3 linked regions of the Arabidopsis thaliana genome follow. The protein of the gene in region 1 interacts with the protein of each later gene in a pairwise test. Each region holds a gene or a part of one and is shown in the gene's direction. Other genes may lie near its edges.

The links. The genes of interacting proteins can lie anywhere in the genome.
Region 2: the proteins of ISU1 (region 1) and AT4G25680 interact in a two-hybrid assay, tested with the Arabidopsis thaliana proteins (one large-scale study listed by BioGRID).
Region 3: the proteins of ISU1 (region 1) and AT4G35110 interact in a two-hybrid assay, tested with the Arabidopsis thaliana proteins (one large-scale study listed by BioGRID).

Annotation. Positions count from the first base shown.
Region 1 is NC_003075.7:11,757,778-11,763,141, reverse strand, and holds ISU1 (SufE/NifU family protein), read left to right. Parts: upstream 1-2,084; 5' UTR 2,085-2,260; coding exon 2,261-2,558; intron 2,559-2,946; coding exon 2,947-3,001; intron 3,002-3,547; coding exon 3,548-3,698; 3' UTR 3,699-4,039; downstream 4,040-5,364. Other genes in the region: AT4G22230 (defensin-like protein), read right to left, coding at 485-687, 775-850; AT4G22217 (defensin-like protein), read right to left, coding at 4,176-4,363, 4,442-4,517. UniProt on the Arabidopsis thaliana protein: Scaffold protein for the de novo synthesis of iron-sulfur (Fe-S) clusters within mitochondria, which is required for maturation of both mitochondrial and cytoplasmic [2Fe-2S] and [4Fe-4S] proteins.
Region 2 is NC_003075.7:13,085,337-13,091,389, forward strand, and holds AT4G25680 (PPPDE putative thiol peptidase family protein), read left to right. Parts: upstream 1-2,636; 5' UTR 2,637-3,088; coding exon 3,089-3,223; intron 3,224-3,821; coding exon 3,822-4,083; intron 4,084-4,172; coding exon 4,173-4,240; intron 4,241-4,322; coding exon 4,323-4,616; 3' UTR 4,617-4,825; downstream 4,826-6,053. Other genes in the region: AT4G25670 (stress response NST1-like protein), read right to left, coding at 95-661; AT4G25690 (stress response NST1-like protein), read right to left, coding at 5,085-5,660.
Region 3 is NC_003075.7:16,711,187-16,717,048, reverse strand, and holds AT4G35110 (phospholipase-like protein (PEARLI 4) family protein), read left to right. Parts: upstream 1-2,257; 5' UTR 2,258-2,732; coding exon of another isoform or gene 2,733-2,746; 5' UTR 2,747-2,823; coding exon 2,824-2,846; exon of another isoform or gene 2,847-3,039; coding exon 3,040-3,185; intron 3,186-3,265; coding exon 3,266-3,561; intron 3,562-3,648; coding exon 3,649-4,389; 3' UTR 4,390-4,634; downstream 4,635-5,862. Other genes in the region: AT4G35120 (Galactose oxidase/kelch repeat superfamily protein), read right to left, coding at 1-243.

The DNA of each region.
Region 1 (5,364 bases):
AAATCAATTAGCTAAATAGAAAAACTATAGTTAATAAACTAGCTAACTACATCTACATATTGTTCTAAATTGGTGAATAAGTGTCTATACCGACGGACAAGTGTGTTTTCTCAACACATCTATTAAACTTTGTTAGGAACAAGTATTTATCAGTTTCTCCCTTAATTCAATTCTTATTTGTATAAATCATAAGACGGATAATTTAACATTTGCAAGAATTAATGTACTCGTATAAAATTCTTTTTGTTGATTTTTTCCCCTCCGATTTAGATTTCAATTAGACAAAAATAAAAAAAATAAAAAAATATGATGAATAGGTCAGGTCATAATCGGAAAACAATCCAACTTTATTTAAGACTTGACAATTCAAAACAAACAGATCTGTAGAAGGCAAACACTCAAATATAGATTTTGAGCTGAAATCATTAACATGCAAATCGCAAAACACAGACACAAAGTGACGTCGTTTTGTATCATTTGCAAATCACATGCTTTCCTTTTCAGCACCACGCTGTACATCACGGCAGCAAACACATAACCCCATACCAGTAATACCACCAACAGGTATGCATCGGCCTCCAATAAACTTGCTGTCCAATTGCTTGCATGGTTCAATACAAGTAGAGCTCTTCTCATAACTATTACATTCACCTTTATCGTAGTCACACACTTGCCTCCCATCTACTTCTGTCCAATCAATAGGAAGATACTACATTTTATAAACATGTTTTATTTTAGATCTTGGGATCAAAGACTTTGGTTTTTTTTACGTACCTGTAGGAGATATGAGGAGAATGGAGAGACAAACGACTACTGCAATAGCGACTGTGCTCAACCTTAAGCTCCCCATTAATTGCTTATTAGTTCTTAGCTTCTTTCTTTCTATTTTGTTTCCCTCTCTCTCTTTGTGATTGATTCATTTAGGCAAAAGGCGAGTTTTTAATTTATAGCTAGCACTGGACAAGTCGTTGGGATTAAAATGACGTAAGATATATGATTTTAAGACAAATCATTTTAAATAGTTAACTGAATACACCCCCGACTCTTATTGTAGATGATCAATACTATTGTATTGTGTAGATAAAGATAGATATTTAGAATCTTTCGTTTGATTTCTTCATTAAATTAGTCAACTTTTAGATACTAATCAACAATGCCAAAGAAAGTGGTAGATGCTAAATCAACGGAGACCAAGCGCTCATCATCATCATTGATTCATTTTTCCTTCAATCATATTTGTTTGTTTGTTTTTGCTTTTTATTAGTATATCTGAAACCTTTGTCCAAAAAAAAATATTATATCTGAAACCAATTGCATGCATAATGAAACTTAAATTTTTGTTTGTTTCTCGGTACCACATGTTTCACGGTATAGATGCATAATGAACTCGTGTCTTAAAATAACTTTATATTTACGAATCTATATGTACTACTTTAAAAAATACATATTAATATATTTTAAAATCCATATTTCTCAATCCTCAACTTAATTTGCTATCTAACTCGCTTCACGAGAAGCTTTCCAAATCTCAGATCTATTACTTGATCTTGCTTCCAATCCGTTCCGGTGGTGCCGTCTAAAAATAACAGACAAATATATTTGTTAATGTTGCAAAACGACTTTTCAAATGATCAAGATCAACCATTAACCAAATATATGTTTACCATAGGACAATGCACAGTCGTAGATGGCTCCTCACAACTTATCTAGACGAAGACATTCGCCTATAATGTTGTTATAGCCTATAACTTATAGGTTTAATTGTTATGATTAACTATACGTTAATGAATTAAGGTTAATTTTAAATAGACTGTTTCATCACTTGAAATTTGAGAACTTTCTATACACATACTAAATCATCATGACTATTGTTTGCGTAAAAGAAGTATGTTCCGATTCAATTGTAAACTTGAAAAGTACGATTTATGAGCGATAGGTCTTATAAACTATAACATTTGAAGGATATCAAAAATATAATTGAAAAGAAAAAGTCAACTTATCAAAATCTCAATCTAAAGTTTAGGTTAGCGTCTCAAGTTAGCTAATACTAAAAGAAAAAATCAAAGGAAAAAAAGAAAAGAAAAAAGAAATAGCAAATATCTCAGAACCATCTAAACCGTCCACGTGTCCCCTCGCTTATCTCTCTGTCTGAAACCAAACCGACTTCTTCTCACAACCCTTAAAGGAAAAGTCCGATCTCATTTCTCATTACCAAAATCAGCGGAGCAAAAGTTACTTCCGAAACCCTAAAAAAAACACGATGATGCTCAAGCAAGCTGCGAAGAAGGCCCTAGGGCTTACGTCACGTCAATCAACACCGTGGTCTGTTGGTATCCTCCGAACCTACCATGAGAACGTCATCGACCACTACGATAATCCCCGCAACGTTGGGTCTTTCGATAAGAATGATCCCAACGTTGGTACGGGACTCGTAGGAGCTCCCGCTTGTGGTGATGTGATGAAGCTTCAAATCAAGGTCGATGAGAAGACTGGTCAAATCGTTGATGCTCGCTTTAAGACTTTTGGTTGTGGTTCAGCCATCGCTTCTTCATCTGTTGGTATGTTTATATTCTAATTTCGTGTTTTGTTCGATTGAGGATTGAATTAGAGAAATTAAATGATTTCAATTAGGGATTTTGATTAGTCTTTCTCAAATGGAGAAATTAGGTTTTAAATTGATGGGTTCGTGTAGAGATTCGGTGTTCAAATTTGGGATTGGTGTCGTTAATGACAAATTAGTGCATGATTTGGTCAGTTGAGACGTTTTTATTGGTGATTCAATGCTGAATTTGTAATACTCCTAGTCTCCTAATGTTATTGAGAAAGATTTCATCTTTTTGATGCGATGTCGTCAGTTTCTGGCTTAGCTTCTATGTGGGAGCTATCTTCTCTCTGGGGATTTGTTGCTGTTATCTAATGTATGATTCATTTTTACGTTTTTTTCAGCCACTGAATGGGTGAAAGGCAAAGCTATGGAGGATGTTCTGACCATCAAAAACACGTAAGTACCGTCTGTTTCTATTCATTTTATGCAGATATTAACATAATCTGTTGTGAGTTGTTGTGTTATGCCAATCAGTGTTGTCTAATTGGTTAAACTCATTAAATGTTGATATACCAGTTACTGTGTTTCATGACTGTTATTTTGTTTTGAGGAACTTGGTCACTGGACTTTGTCTGTTGGTACAATATTGGTTGCTGGTTAGTATGCCCTGTGTTCCTATTCATGTTTTGCAGATTTTTAACATAAATATGAACACTCGTGTTATCTAATTGCTGCACTCATTGAATGTTGACATACCTGAGACGAAGTAATGTGATTATTTTGTTTAGATGAACTTAGTTACTGGATTTTGGTCAATTGGTCTGAGATTGGTTACTGGTTTGGTTTGTATGGTATTTAAGGTTTTCCAGCCTATAATGATGCAGACCTCTTGACTTCTTTTTCTTAGACAAAGTAAACATTGTGATTTCTGTCATGGAGTTTCTCAATATCTGAAGACTTACTCTGAATGTGTGCTTCTCTTTCTGTGATTTATTTTGCCAGCGAAATCGCAAAGCATCTTTCTCTCCCACCAGTCAAGCTCCACTGCAGTATGTTGGCGGAGGACGCTATCAAGGCAGCTGTGAAAGACTACAAGGAGAAGCGTGTGAAGACAAATGGTGCTGCAGCAGCAGGAGAAACCACACAGGCTTGATTCCTTTTACTAGTGTGTATACCATAATGTGTATATGATGGTGAAAACAGGGGAGAAGTAGAAGAGGATGATACATACAACCTATGGTATGTTGTAATGTTCAAGACTTAAGGAGTATTTTAGAATAAACTCTGTTCACAGAAACGTGTAAGAATGATTTTGCTTCGGCCCTGTAGTTTTTGCTGTTTTATGCACCGATGTGATGTAATGTTTTCTCTCTTCTTTGGGAGGTTTATAAATTACAACTTTGACAGACAAATTTTCAATTTTCAATTTTGACATTATAATTTTCTCTGCATGGAACTATGTGGGTGTAGCTTGACTTATCATCTCTCTGTTCCTGAATTGTCACAAAACATCCAACCTTTATTCGAAACGTTATCTCTGTTATTGGATTAAGCAGAGTACAACAAACAAAAGCAAAGCAGAGTAGAACAAAGCGATGTCGATTATATGGTTTCGGAATCACATGTTTTCTTATTGAGCACCGATACTATCATAATAGCAGCAGAAACAAGCCGTCCACACGCTCGGCCTATCCCTTGGACGGCACTTGCCATCAAAAAAAGTCTGTCCAGCCCTCGTTTTGAACTTGATGCAACTCTCCTTGCAATCACGGAAAGGAGTACAAGCACCTAATGGGAAGTCACAGCTTCCATCCACTTCTGTCGACACGAACAGCCACATACATTTATAACAAAAACTTGTGTATCTATGTAGTTAGAGATCTTGATTTTACGTACCGGTGGGAGATAGGAGGACCGATAGACAAACGACTATTGTAGCAACAACAACTGTTCTCAACCTCAAGCTCCTCATTGCTGATCTCTCTTTGTGATTTTATCAGCAAAAGGCTTTCAATTTATACGTCTCAACCAAACACATTTTCTCTTCACTACTTCTACATTATTAATATCTAATTAAGAGTCTCCACGATGTGATCCACCTCGCCTATAATTATATTTTCTAGACACAAATCAAACATTATCCATCTCGTCTACAATACTTTTTAAGTTTTAACGTGAAATATGCTCGCTATATGTCCATAACTACAGTACATATAATAAGATTATGTAACAAGACGTACCGGCATGTCACACATAGAATTTCTCACGTGTATTGAGAACCTAACTGTATAGTTAGGTTTTCATGCTTTTTCTTCTATTTCGCTTTGCGTTGAGACGATTATGAGGGATGATGTTGAAGGAACTACTTTTCCGCGACAAGTCCGTAATTAATTTATTTTTAGATTCTTATTAACAAAATCCGAAGATTTTTTCTGGGGAATTCACCAAAAAAGAATTCTAAATAATATAAATTCACAACAATATATTTTATTCAAAGTTCATATGTATAATTTTACATTGAGTTCTTTATATTAAAAAAAACATTAATTATTACTTTTAGTTCCATGTGACATACTAACTCCAAGATCAATAAAGGGTGATGAAAATGTCTTCTATAAGAATCAGGGTCAAAATTAAAAATATCTAAAAATAAAAGGTTTAGATAGCAAAGTTTTCCTGGTTCGGTCTGTTCTCTGTTCCTTTTTATCTTCTTGGCGCTTTTGAAAAATAGAAACCCGCCACTAAAGCGTCAATCTTCCACGTGTCCCACTCCAGTGCTCTGTTTCATATCTTCGGAGACGTCAATCTGACTTAGGGAT
Region 2 (6,053 bases), 1.3 Mb from region 1:
AACGTCAAGAGAAAAAAACAGAGCATTGACACCAAAGCAAGCAGAAGGCAAATGTTTATTTTAAAAACCGAATGAGGACGAGTCGTGGCATCTGTCATCCCCGGAACATCCCATTGAACACAAAGGCGTTCCCATCAGCATTTTCAGATATCTGTAGCGCCGAGACAGCCTGAGCAGCAATCAAATCAGCTGATATTCCCATGTTGTTATCCCAAGCACCCCTCCTCGTGAATGGCGACCAGTTACTATCTCCTAGTCCATAGCCATTTGACACAAACCCAATCCCTTGAACCGCATAGCTAGCACAGCTTTGGCGAGGAACGTAGTTAGTTCTTTCATCTCTAAACAGATCCATTGTGAAACCCTTTTCTTCACCAAACTTGACTCGAGATGAATCATCAGAATCTTCGCCCAGTAGGACGTGCAGAGCAACAGCTTCTGCAATTGCAGCTCCTTCTTCATCTAACCTTTGTTGTTCTTCCAATCTCTTCTGCTTCTTCTTTTCAAGCTCAGCCCGGATGGCTGCAGAAGTAGCAAGAGCTTTCTCCAAACGTCTCTTTTTCTTCTCAGCTTGTTTGATACGATCAAATTCATCTTTACCATGCTTCTTCTTCGCTTTCCTAACGACTGGCTGAACTTGCTTGCACACCGTGTGATCCATTATTGCTTGACTATAAATTTCTAACTAAAAAACTGCACTAAACTCGATGATGTTGTAGAGGAACTCAAGAACTACACCCACTCTGGTATATAGGAATACCTCATGGTGCGGACAATACAATCCCAGAAAGAAACAACAGGAGACAACTGAAGAGAGAGGTTATAAGAATTCGCAGACTTATTCTTCGAAATCATTCGTCCAACATTCCCGCACCCCTTAGACTCGCCCATTTTCTGCATTGACAATTACTTGATTAGTTTCAAGTTGCAGAGGAGTAGTAACACAGAAATCCATAACATCAAAATCTGAAAGCCAAAACAATAGCATTCAAACTTGTAAAAGCTAACAGTTGTAGATAGACCACCAACCAAGCAGACACAATTGTTCTAATGACCTCGAAAGACACCAAAAGTCCTAAAGAAGTCAAACAAAATCAGCCACCAATTAGATTGAAGATAGTCAACAACAGCCAAAGAGTAAAACCTAATGATTACTCAAACCCTAATTTCCCAGAGTAGGAGCAAAGTTGAAGAATACAAAGGGTATCCATCCATCCACAGAAAGAGTTAATTCCACGGCAAATTTCAGGATCTCTCTTAATCCTCAGCTAATAACTCAATTAAGACTAATGGATACAAATTACACAAATACAGACACCAGATCTGCCGCAGAAACTAATTTTCAGATCAAAATTAACCTCAATTCAACAAGAACAATAAGAGAAACAATCGGATTTAATCCATTATGTAGGTCTAAGATCCATGAATAAGCATAAGATCCGAGGAAGCTAATCAAAAAGACTTTTAACGAAATAAGTCAATTATATTGAAAAGATAAAGGGAAATTGAAGATAAACGGAGAAACAAAGATGATGATGAAATTTAGATCCAAACCTCGGCAATATGGCATAGAAGCAGCTGCCTTCAAAGAACTCCTTTAAATTAATCGGATAATACAGAGAGATAAACAAAAACGCAGAAGTAAAGTTGCTGTTTTGATGCAGAGAGAAAGAGAGAGGAATTTCGAGAGATAAAAAAGAAGAGCAGACGAAGAAGACGAGAGAGAGAGGATAATAGAAGGAATTATAACTAGTACAGAGAAAGAAACGCAGCGCGACTTCTAATGAAATGGGGACACGTGTCGAATGATGTCTGACTTTTTTTTCAAGTGTAAGTTTTCAATTGGGACTTTGGAGACTTGGCCGGTGCGACTTCGTCTACTCCCAGTATTTTGTGGGTCCTAATGAGGGCTATTAGCAGCCGTTAGATCCCCCGATAACTGTTTTGAGATGTTTCCGGTTCCAACTTTTTTTTTTGTCGACTTCCGGTTCCAACTTTGCAATATTTATCATGTAAGAAAGAAAATTTGAGCCTTTCACGAATATGTACAAGTGTCATGTTACCTTACATTACAATAAAATATAAGAGCTTAATTTGCATTCAAAGTTTATCAACTTGACTAAGCTTTGTTTGTGCTTTGAGCATCCCATTCAAGATTCATCCACCAAAATGAGACTTTGAATACACTTTTGATATAACAAAAAACTTGGTCGAATTTCTTTGGTCCTAATTTATTTCCTGAATCCCATCTGTTGTACTGGGCCTAGGCCCAATTGGCCCAATATGTATGTACCATAAAAAAGAAGTCATTAAGTTTTTATGATTGACTTTTTTACATAGAAGCAAAATTATAAATTTGGTGTATGAATGGATGGACTAATTCGAGACGAATCAGATGGCTAACGAAAACCAGACTTGTGTCCGTTTTGCATTTTCGAAAATTATCGGAAGAATCGGTCAATTGATTACCCTCTTTTTTTTTTGTTTACCCCATTTTTTAATAGTCATGAATCATCTTCCTTGGTTGTGTCAGATTACTTAAGTCATTATTTTGTTATAGAGATGCTTTACTAGTATTTTTGATTTGTTTTGGTAAGGACACTTGTCTAGCTAAAGAAATGTTAGTTAAATGAAAGAAAAAAGGTTCAGTAGTTGACCCGTTTAATCAACTGCGAACAACGTTCATACTAATATAATTTGTTACCATAAATTCATAATCTAAACGCGTGCTTAAGTTGTAAACAAAAGGAATTAACAAGGGACACGTAAAGTAGCAATTCCGCAGGAAAAGCGAGGGTAAAATTGTCATTTCAGTGGATCCCCACCACCACCACCACCGCCGCACCAGTTTCTTCTTCATCTCCTACGTCTGAAATTGAGAAATCGGAAGAAGAAAGATAAGTCTAATCTTGTGCCTTTAGATTTCTTTTCGGGGAGATCTAGTAGTTGTTGGATTCGTTAAACGGAGAAGTGGATTTGGTACGAGTCTTTAGGTTTCCTTCTTCACCAAAAGCTCTATATAGAGAGAATCTGCGAGCTCTTTTTGGTAGGAAATTAGGGTTCGTGTTGCTTGGTAAATATAGAATCAATGACGGAGGTTGTTCTGCATATATACGATGTGACGAACAGTGGATCGGAGAAGACTAACAACACCATTGTTCAGATCAATAGGTTCTTCAAAGACGGGATCGGTCTTGGCGGTATATTCCACAGCGCTATTCAGGTACTACTCTTCGTCTATATTCTATGAATCTACATTTATGTACAATTATCGATGATGTCTAAGCTTGGTTTTGGTCTACTTTATGTAGATTTGGTTTTTGTTTCTGTGTATGTATGTGGAAATTAAGAAGTTGACGGCATGATACTTTTCTTTTGATATGTGAGGCTTTAGTTTAATGGTTTATGGTCCTAAAGGTCTGGAGCTGAAGTCTCTCTTTTGCTCAGGATCTTGTGTTTCCTAGTACTTTTGGTAACTTTCCATATGATAATGATTGCGATATATTGACCAAGTGCTCTCTGGAGACTTGTTAAATCCAATGATGGCTTACGTTTACTTCTGTGATCTTTGACCTGGGCAAATATAATTGCATATACCACTTTCCCATTTGAGTCGTGACAATTTGGTGTATTCCAACAAAACTACCAGAATTTAGGTTTTCAAGTTAGTGCTAATCATTCTATGTTCTTAGGTCTGTATATCTATGCAATATCATTTGATTATTCTTGTTCATGGTTTTGTTATTTTTTTGTGTCTTGTAGATGACTATTGATTCGCAGGGAAGAGTGATTGAATAGAATATTTTATGACCTTTGTGCAGGTATATGGAAACGATGAATGGTCTTACGGGTATTGTGAACTAGGAACTGGTGTATTCAGCTGCCCGAGTGGAAAGAATCCAATGTACACATACCGTGAGAAAATCGTCCTTGGCAAAACAGATTGCACAATCTTCATGGTGAATCAGATGTTGCGTGAACTCAGCAGGGAATGGCCTGGACACACTTATGATTTGTTGTCAAAAAATTGCAATCACTTCTGCGATGTACTCTGTGACCGGCTTGGTGTGCCAAAGATCCCAGGTAAAGCCATTTTTTGGGAATCTGGTGTGTGTGTGTGTGTGTTTTGTCTTCAAGGCTTATGTGACGGCTTGGGTTCTGTCTCTTAACAGGTTGGGTTAATCGCTTTGCTAATGCTGGGGACACAGCCTTGGAAGTGGCAGGAAACACAGCAATGCGGGTGGGTTCCCTTTTGTTTAGCTTCTCTACAACGTAAATGCAACATTATGGGTGTTCAAAACTTGTAAATTGGGATTTTGCAGATGAAGCAAGCCAAAACTGAACTTGTGTCAGCTAGTAAAGTGGCTTATCGCTTCCTCTCGAATGTTACTTCGAACGTAACCAATGGCTCCAATGGCTCTCCACAACGACCGGGAACTCTCAACAATTCAGACAGCGGGAACTTGAGATTGCAAGGTAGTTGGCTCAAAGGCTTACTTAACACAGCCAAACCCTCCACTAGTACAGAGATAGGGAACAAAGATGAAGATGCAAATCATGCAGTCACCAATCAGAAGAAACAAAGCCGTGACTCTGATGTTCTACTGTTTCAGTAGCAACCGTACCGATCCACCACAATGCATTCGGTTAGCTGTATATCCACCGGTCTAAGAGTCACGCACTATTCTCCTCGTCTGTACCCATTACTCTGTATCAACGTTGGAACCTGTCATTTTTTCTTGAGTTTTTAGCTCACGTGTGCTTTTGTTAAGATCATTCTCGCTTGTTACTGTCAAATCTTAACATCAAAAGGTTTATTAGTCTCAATACACTAGAAATTGTGACTGAATTTGGATAATCACGTGATTCAAGAGGTACTCTGTAATCTGTATAAAACTTAGAACGTATTTGTGAATGTTACAAAGAGAATTCAGAAAACATCTTTTCAGCTAGTCTAACATCAAAAGATAAACAACGAGGAGGAATTTTCACACCAAAAGGGGTTCTAGAATAAAGAAAAAAACTGCAACTCTACTCATAGCAAACACTTGTTTCTGCAGCCAAGTTTGGCACGATGGCTTTTGTCATCCCCCGAACATCGTCTCGAAGACATAAGCGTTCCTATCAGCGTCCTCAGATATCTGTAGTGACGAAACAGCCTGAGCAGCAATCAAATCTGCAGATATTACCATGTTGTTATCCCAGACATCCTTCATGAATGGCTTATATGACACTGACCAGTTACTATCTCCTAGTCCATAACCATTTGACACAAACCCAATCCCTTGAACCGCATAGCTAGCACAACTTTGGCGAGGAACATAGTTGGTTCTTTCATCTCTAAACAGATCCATTCCGAAACCCGTTTCTTCGCCAAACTTGACTCGAGATGAATCATCAGAATCTTCGCCCAGTAGGACGTGCAGAGCGACAGCTTCTGCAATTGCAGCTCCTTCTTCATCTAACCTTTGTTGTTCTTCCAATCTCTTCTGCTTCTTCTTTTCAAGCTCAGCCCGAATGGCTGCAGAAGTAGCAAGAGCTTTCTCCAAACGTCTCTTTTTCTTCTCAGCTTGTTTGATACGATCAAATTCATCTTTACCATGCTTCTTCACTTTCCTAGTAACTGGCTGAACAACTTGCTTGCACAACGTGTGATCCATTATTGCTTGCTATAACTCTTTGATTCCAACTAAAGTAAAATGCACTAAACTCGTTGTCTAAGAGGATTTCAAAGACTACAACCACTCAGGTATATAGGAATACCTCATGGTCCGAACATTACAATCCCAAACAGAGTCAACAAGAGACAACTCAAGGGAGAGGTTATAAGAATTAGCAGACTTATGATTTGGAATCATTAGTCCTCCTTTCCCACACCCCGTAGACTCTCCCATTTTCTGCATTGACGATTACTTGATTAGCTTATAGTAGTTGCAAAGGAGAAACAGATAAGCCTTGTGCATAACATCAATCTTAAAGCAACAGTCAAAACAATAGCATTCAAACTTGTAGAAGCTAACAATTGTAGTTGCAAAACATTCCACTTTATTCAA
Region 3 (5,862 bases), 5.0 Mb from region 1:
GTACGGGCAAGGCTCTGTCGCTCCGATGTGGGATCGGGCCGCGTAGATCTCTGTAGAAGAGAGAAGAGAGTAAAAGCTTTTGGAGACTAAAGAGAGGGAACGGTAGTACGATTTAGAGATCAGGGCTAAGAAACTTAAAACGATTTCATCTGGAAGTGATGAAATCGACATAGATAATGGAGTTTGAGCTGTGAGAATCGTCTTCTTCGTTTCCTGAGGTGGTTCTACTTTGGCGGTGTCCATAGCAACGATACCGTGTTTACTAAGCTCAGGTTTTAGGTCTCAAATTAGGTCTTATATAAGACAATAGTAAAAAGGAAATATTTTCTCCTTAGTTAAAATTAATGAACAAGTCCCCTGAATTAAAATAAAATACCAAATCGCCCGTTTTTAAAACAGATTTCAGTATTGAACCCTGTTAAAACCGGTTTGAAAACTAAAGTAATATTAAAAACGATAACAATTAACAACACATCGTTATATATACATTATGTTGTGTTACTGGAATTTCGGTGTTCAGTTTTTTAAACCGAACTCACCAAATTCGTATAAGAAAATCTATGGATTTATCGTATAAAGAACTTTTCTATGCTGCTTTCAAACTTTTTTTAAGATCCCTCCCTTGATTTTGGTATACCTTCAAATGTACATGTATACACAAAAAAAAAATGAAAGACAGAAAGATACACTTACACAATGTAACTTGCTTGATGATTCATAGTCATAGGATTTGAGACTTCTCTAACAATGCACTAAACTAGTCTCTTTCTTGGAAGATTTCTTGATGGAGACACGAGTAAGCTTTAGGGGAAAGAAGAATTTATCATGTTTCAGGTGACTCGTTCACACGATTGTGCAGGTATACTGACAATATTTCTATTTTTTATTAGAAAAATATGGATTTGGTCATAAATATCTAATTTTCTGGAAAAAAAAAAGAGAAAAAAGAAACACCAACGAAGACAAATGAATGAAGAGTAAAATAAAATTAGAGAACAACAGGGAAAGAAAAAGACATGTTGCATGAATGAAAAAGAATGGTCGTATTAGAGTAGTTTGCTAAATGATTTATTTAAAGAATGTGCATTATAGTATTAACAAAATCTTTTCATGTCTTTTTAAAAGCCAACGCTCTAGAGTTGACTCTATGTATTTCTTCTTCTTCTTCTTCATGATATGAAGTCTGACCCCCAACAAAAAAGGATGAAAGTATTTTTGGGGAAATGGTCATTTATCGCTTCTGGATAAGCTACTCGCATTTCGAAACTATATTGTACTAATACTAAAATTACGACTTACGAAAGATGACACAATTAATAACAAAAAGATGCTTTTATCAGATTCTATAATAAATGTTGTTTCCTATCGGATCAACATGCATGCACTTTGACAAATCGGGTAGAAAATTTCCTTCCTTCGGATTGAATCATAAAAATATGTTTTACCTAAGCAATCTCCATAATATTATCAGAAAATTTGGTATCAACACTTATTCGCAAGTAATGATATTTATATATTTGATTTGATTTATACTTATCTGCAACAACAATTAGAAAAAATACTAAGAGATCCAATGTAAACATAACTTTATATTATCTATATTTATTAATTGAAAGATGTCTAAGTTTTATTGGTTAAGTAATAATGGACAGCAAAAAAAAAGATAACTTCTATGCATAAAATTAGACAAGAGATATAGCAATATGGTTAAGAACTTGAGATTCTTAAGAACCTCACGTGTGATGCAAACAATGACACGCAATAACGCGTTTTAACTGACAACTTTCTTTCTTTATTTTTGTCTCTTAAATTTCTTTTCCTTTAAGTGGTTACAGATTTCTACTTTCGATTCTCGTCGACTCTAAAAATCTCACTCGTATTTGTATAACCGTCCCACGTTGTTGTCCACTTCTGGAAGATAAGTGAGGTGTGTGATTGATTGCCGTTTCCAACCTCTTTTCAATTAAATGCTTCTCTCTATCTTCAATTGGTAATATTGGCTTTGGTCAATTCATCATCATCATCATATTATTATTATACCAAAGACAATGTCACATGAACCTTATAATATACACAACTGTTATACCTTATAAACAAAAATAAAAATCAACATTTTATTCATTTTTCTCCGCTCATCACATTTCTCTCCCTCTTCCGATTCTCCTGGTATATCTCTCTCTCTCTTTCTCTTTATTTCTCTGTTTGTTGATTGATTGCATTTTTGTGTGAATTAAAAGTTTGGTTCTTTGATCCACAAATAGATTCTTGATCTCGATCAGAATCGTGGGTTTGCTTTTGTTTTAAGAATTAATTCAATGATCGATGATGAAACTGATTGATACTGTTTTATTGTCATATGCTCTGTTTCTTTGCTCTGTTCTAAGGAAATTTTGTGACAAACGACAATCATGGAAAACGAAATTTCAACCTATTAAAAAAATATTATCCACAAGGGTGGGCCTTGGAAGTTTTTGTCTGTTCAAGAAAACAAGCCGGTCAAAATAATCTACCTTTTAACTCTGGTCTAAGTCAATAACTGAGTGCTTCCACCGTTGAAATTTAGTATCTCACTGGAAAATTGTACTTGGAAATTGCATGGTCGGTCCATGAAAGTATTAAGGAGAAGAAACAAACCAAAAGTCGTCTTTTTGTATCTCTCTATACCTATACATTTTATGATTTGATTGGTTTTGTGGGGATCAATTTCACTATTACTCGTAAGAAATTTCTTTATGGATATGTTTTGGTGAATCTCTCTCTGCTTCTCACAATCTCCCTCTTTACTTTTTTTCTTTCATCATATAAAGGGTTGGTGAAATATGAATGGAATCCAATTTCGTTGGGAGGTTGTTGTATATTATAAGTTTTTAGTGTCTAATCTTTTTGAACTATTTGTTGAAATTAAGGTGTAAAGGTTTGACCACTTACTTACCCTTAATGTGATATGTTCAGTCCTTTGACACCACAAATTTGAAGTTCTTGTGTTGTTCTTTGAGTTTGTCTTCTTTGAGCTGATTAGTTATCTTGATTTTGTTGCAGTTGTTCCATTCATCAAAAAGCTATGGATTTCAATAGAAAAGCTCATCCAGATTGCGTATATGCGGATAATCCTTTCCATGAATGTGCTTCAGCTTGTTTAGAGAAAATTGCTCAAGGCCATGTCAAGAAGAACACTAAGAAGCAAAGTACTTTTTTCTGCTTTTGATTTTGCCATTTTAAAAACTTTTCCTTTATGGATTCTGATTCTTGTTCTGTTATGTTACAGGTTCAAGGCTTCTTAGCTTCTCAGGGAGTTTCGGTAGGAAAAAGAAGGAGTCGAATTCACAACCGCCTACACCGCTATCCGCAAGGCCTTATCAAAACGGCAGAGGCGGTTTTGCAAATGGTAATTCCCCAAAGGTTCATCATTCTGTAGCTCCACCTGCTTCCGTGAAGAAGAAGATTGTTTCTGAAACGAAAAATTCTTTCACTTCTTCATCATCCGGTGATCCGGATGATTTCTTCAACCATAAACCAGAGAAGAAACCTTCTCAAACCATTCCCCTTTCATCAAACAATTTGGTATCTCATCCTTTACTCTCTTCCATGATTTCGACCACCATATCTTTACCATATTTGTAAACATCAAGATTCTTGTATCTTATGAAGGTTGATCAAAGCAAAGTGGTATCACCTAAACCGGGAATACAAGAACACAATGGGAAGATTGGAGAAGGCGGCGAAACTAGACTCTTTAGTTTCCTAAGCCTTCCAAGATCGCCTGGAAAAGAGAGCAATGATGATTTTTCTGATGATGATGACGAAAACAACAATGAGATTGGTGTAGAGCTCGATCTCGAATCAGTAATGTCTGACACTTTTGTCTCTGTCGGGAAATACCGAGTCAGATCGGGTTCATCCACTATACTAAGTGCTGTCATCGAAAAGCACGGAGACATTGCTCAAAACTGTAAGCTGGAATCGGATTCAATGCGATCACGTTACCTCGAGTGTTTATGCTCACTGATGCAGGAACTTAGGTCAACCCCGGTAGGGCAGTTGAGCAAAGTCAAGGTCAAAGAGATGCTTGCGGTTCTCAAAGACTTGGAGTCTGTGAACATTGAAGTAGCTTGGCTACGTTCTGTTCTTGAAGAGTTTGCGCAGTCTCAAGAAGATGTAGAAAATGAGAAAGAGAGGCATGATGGTTTAGTGAAGGCTAAGAGAGAAGAGCTTGAGGCTCAAGAAACGGATTTGGTTAGGATGGAGAAGGAAGTGGTGGAAGTGAAGCGGCGGATTGAGGAGACGCGGGCTCAGATGGTTGAGATCGAAGCAGAACGGTTGAGGATGGAGAAAATGGGATTCAAAATGGAGAAATTTAAAGGGAAATCGTTTATAGATGAGCTTCTGTGAGTTTGAGTTGTGTGTGATGTTGTTAGTAGTAAGCCAAGGGTAGTAGGTAATAGCACAAAATCAAAAATGCTCTAATAAATGAGTTTTTAAGGTTAGGGTTTTTAAGTATTATGGGAAAGCTGGTATTTATTGGTAACTTATAAAAAATATTAAGATATTTGGTTGTTGCTAATAAATACGTTTTGATTTGTGTGATGCATTTTTCTTTGGTTATGTTTTTTTTTTTTTGGTTTCTTTCGTTTTCTATAATGGGAAAGATTACAAGTTGCCTTCGAGTTTGGAAAACGAAAGATTGTTTATTAAAAATTAAATTCACAACTATATTTATTGTGTTAGTTATAGCAGAACTTGTTGAATATTGTATAGTATAGTTCTTTTAAATATGTGTATAGAAAATGTCAAAACAACACTTTTGCAAAATAAAGGAATGAATAATTTTGTTGAGTTCATTCTTTATTACACTCAATTTGAGCTCTACTCTTCGATTTTTTTGTTACTTTGTTTTTGTCGAAAAGTAGATGTTATTCCATAACGATGATTTTTAGGGGATTTTAAAGCCAAATATATCTTATGTTTTTATGTTATTCACTAGTTGATTTTGTTACATAATTGTTAGATTTGATATTTTTAAAAGTAACAAAGTATCGTACTCTGCTTTTAAACCGTTTGCAACGGACAAATCAATCTGTTATTTGCGACAATGCTACTGGGCTTCAGTTACTCATGTCGGCTTTACACCGAGCCCACTGAAACATGGCCCAACGGGAAGCTCCCCGTTGGGTTTGCTCACGAAACGAAGATTTAAGTGTAAACCGGAGAAGTTGAACCAGAAACCTCCAGATAAAGGTTTGTGGACCACAAATTGTGCTTGGTTTTGTTGCACAATGTGAGTAAGTAATTATAAATAACCTCATTGGAGATTCAGATCTTAACTAATAGACAGCAGTTACTTCAATCGTCTTTACTAGAAAAAATAAAATAAAATCTTTAAGTAGGCTCCAAAGGCTTTCACAAGATGGCAAATGACCTCAAAAAAACAAATTAGTTATCACGTGAAATCACCTTGACAGCCAATTTTTCCAGACACATAAAAAATAATCCGTAACATGGAATGATTAAAAAAGTTCGCAACTTTTAAAAAGTCTGAATTAGTGATTTATATCCAAAGTTGAAGATGTTTTTTGTCAACATATTATGACATCATTTCTTTCAAAAAAATGGACAGACAACTAAGTTTCACACTCAGCTGCTGTCTGTTTCAAGTTTATGTTTTTAGCTATACAGCATCAGATCGGTTAAAGTAAATCGGTTTAGGGATAAGCAGAGGGGTGAACCGGCCGGTCACATAAGGTATTTTGCAACTTGCAAAATTGCTATTATCCAGAACCAATAAAGCAATAGCTATTATAAAACAAAATTTAAGGCCCAACTATATGATGGTTCATACTTCATAAGCTGCTAGGGTTTACAAAG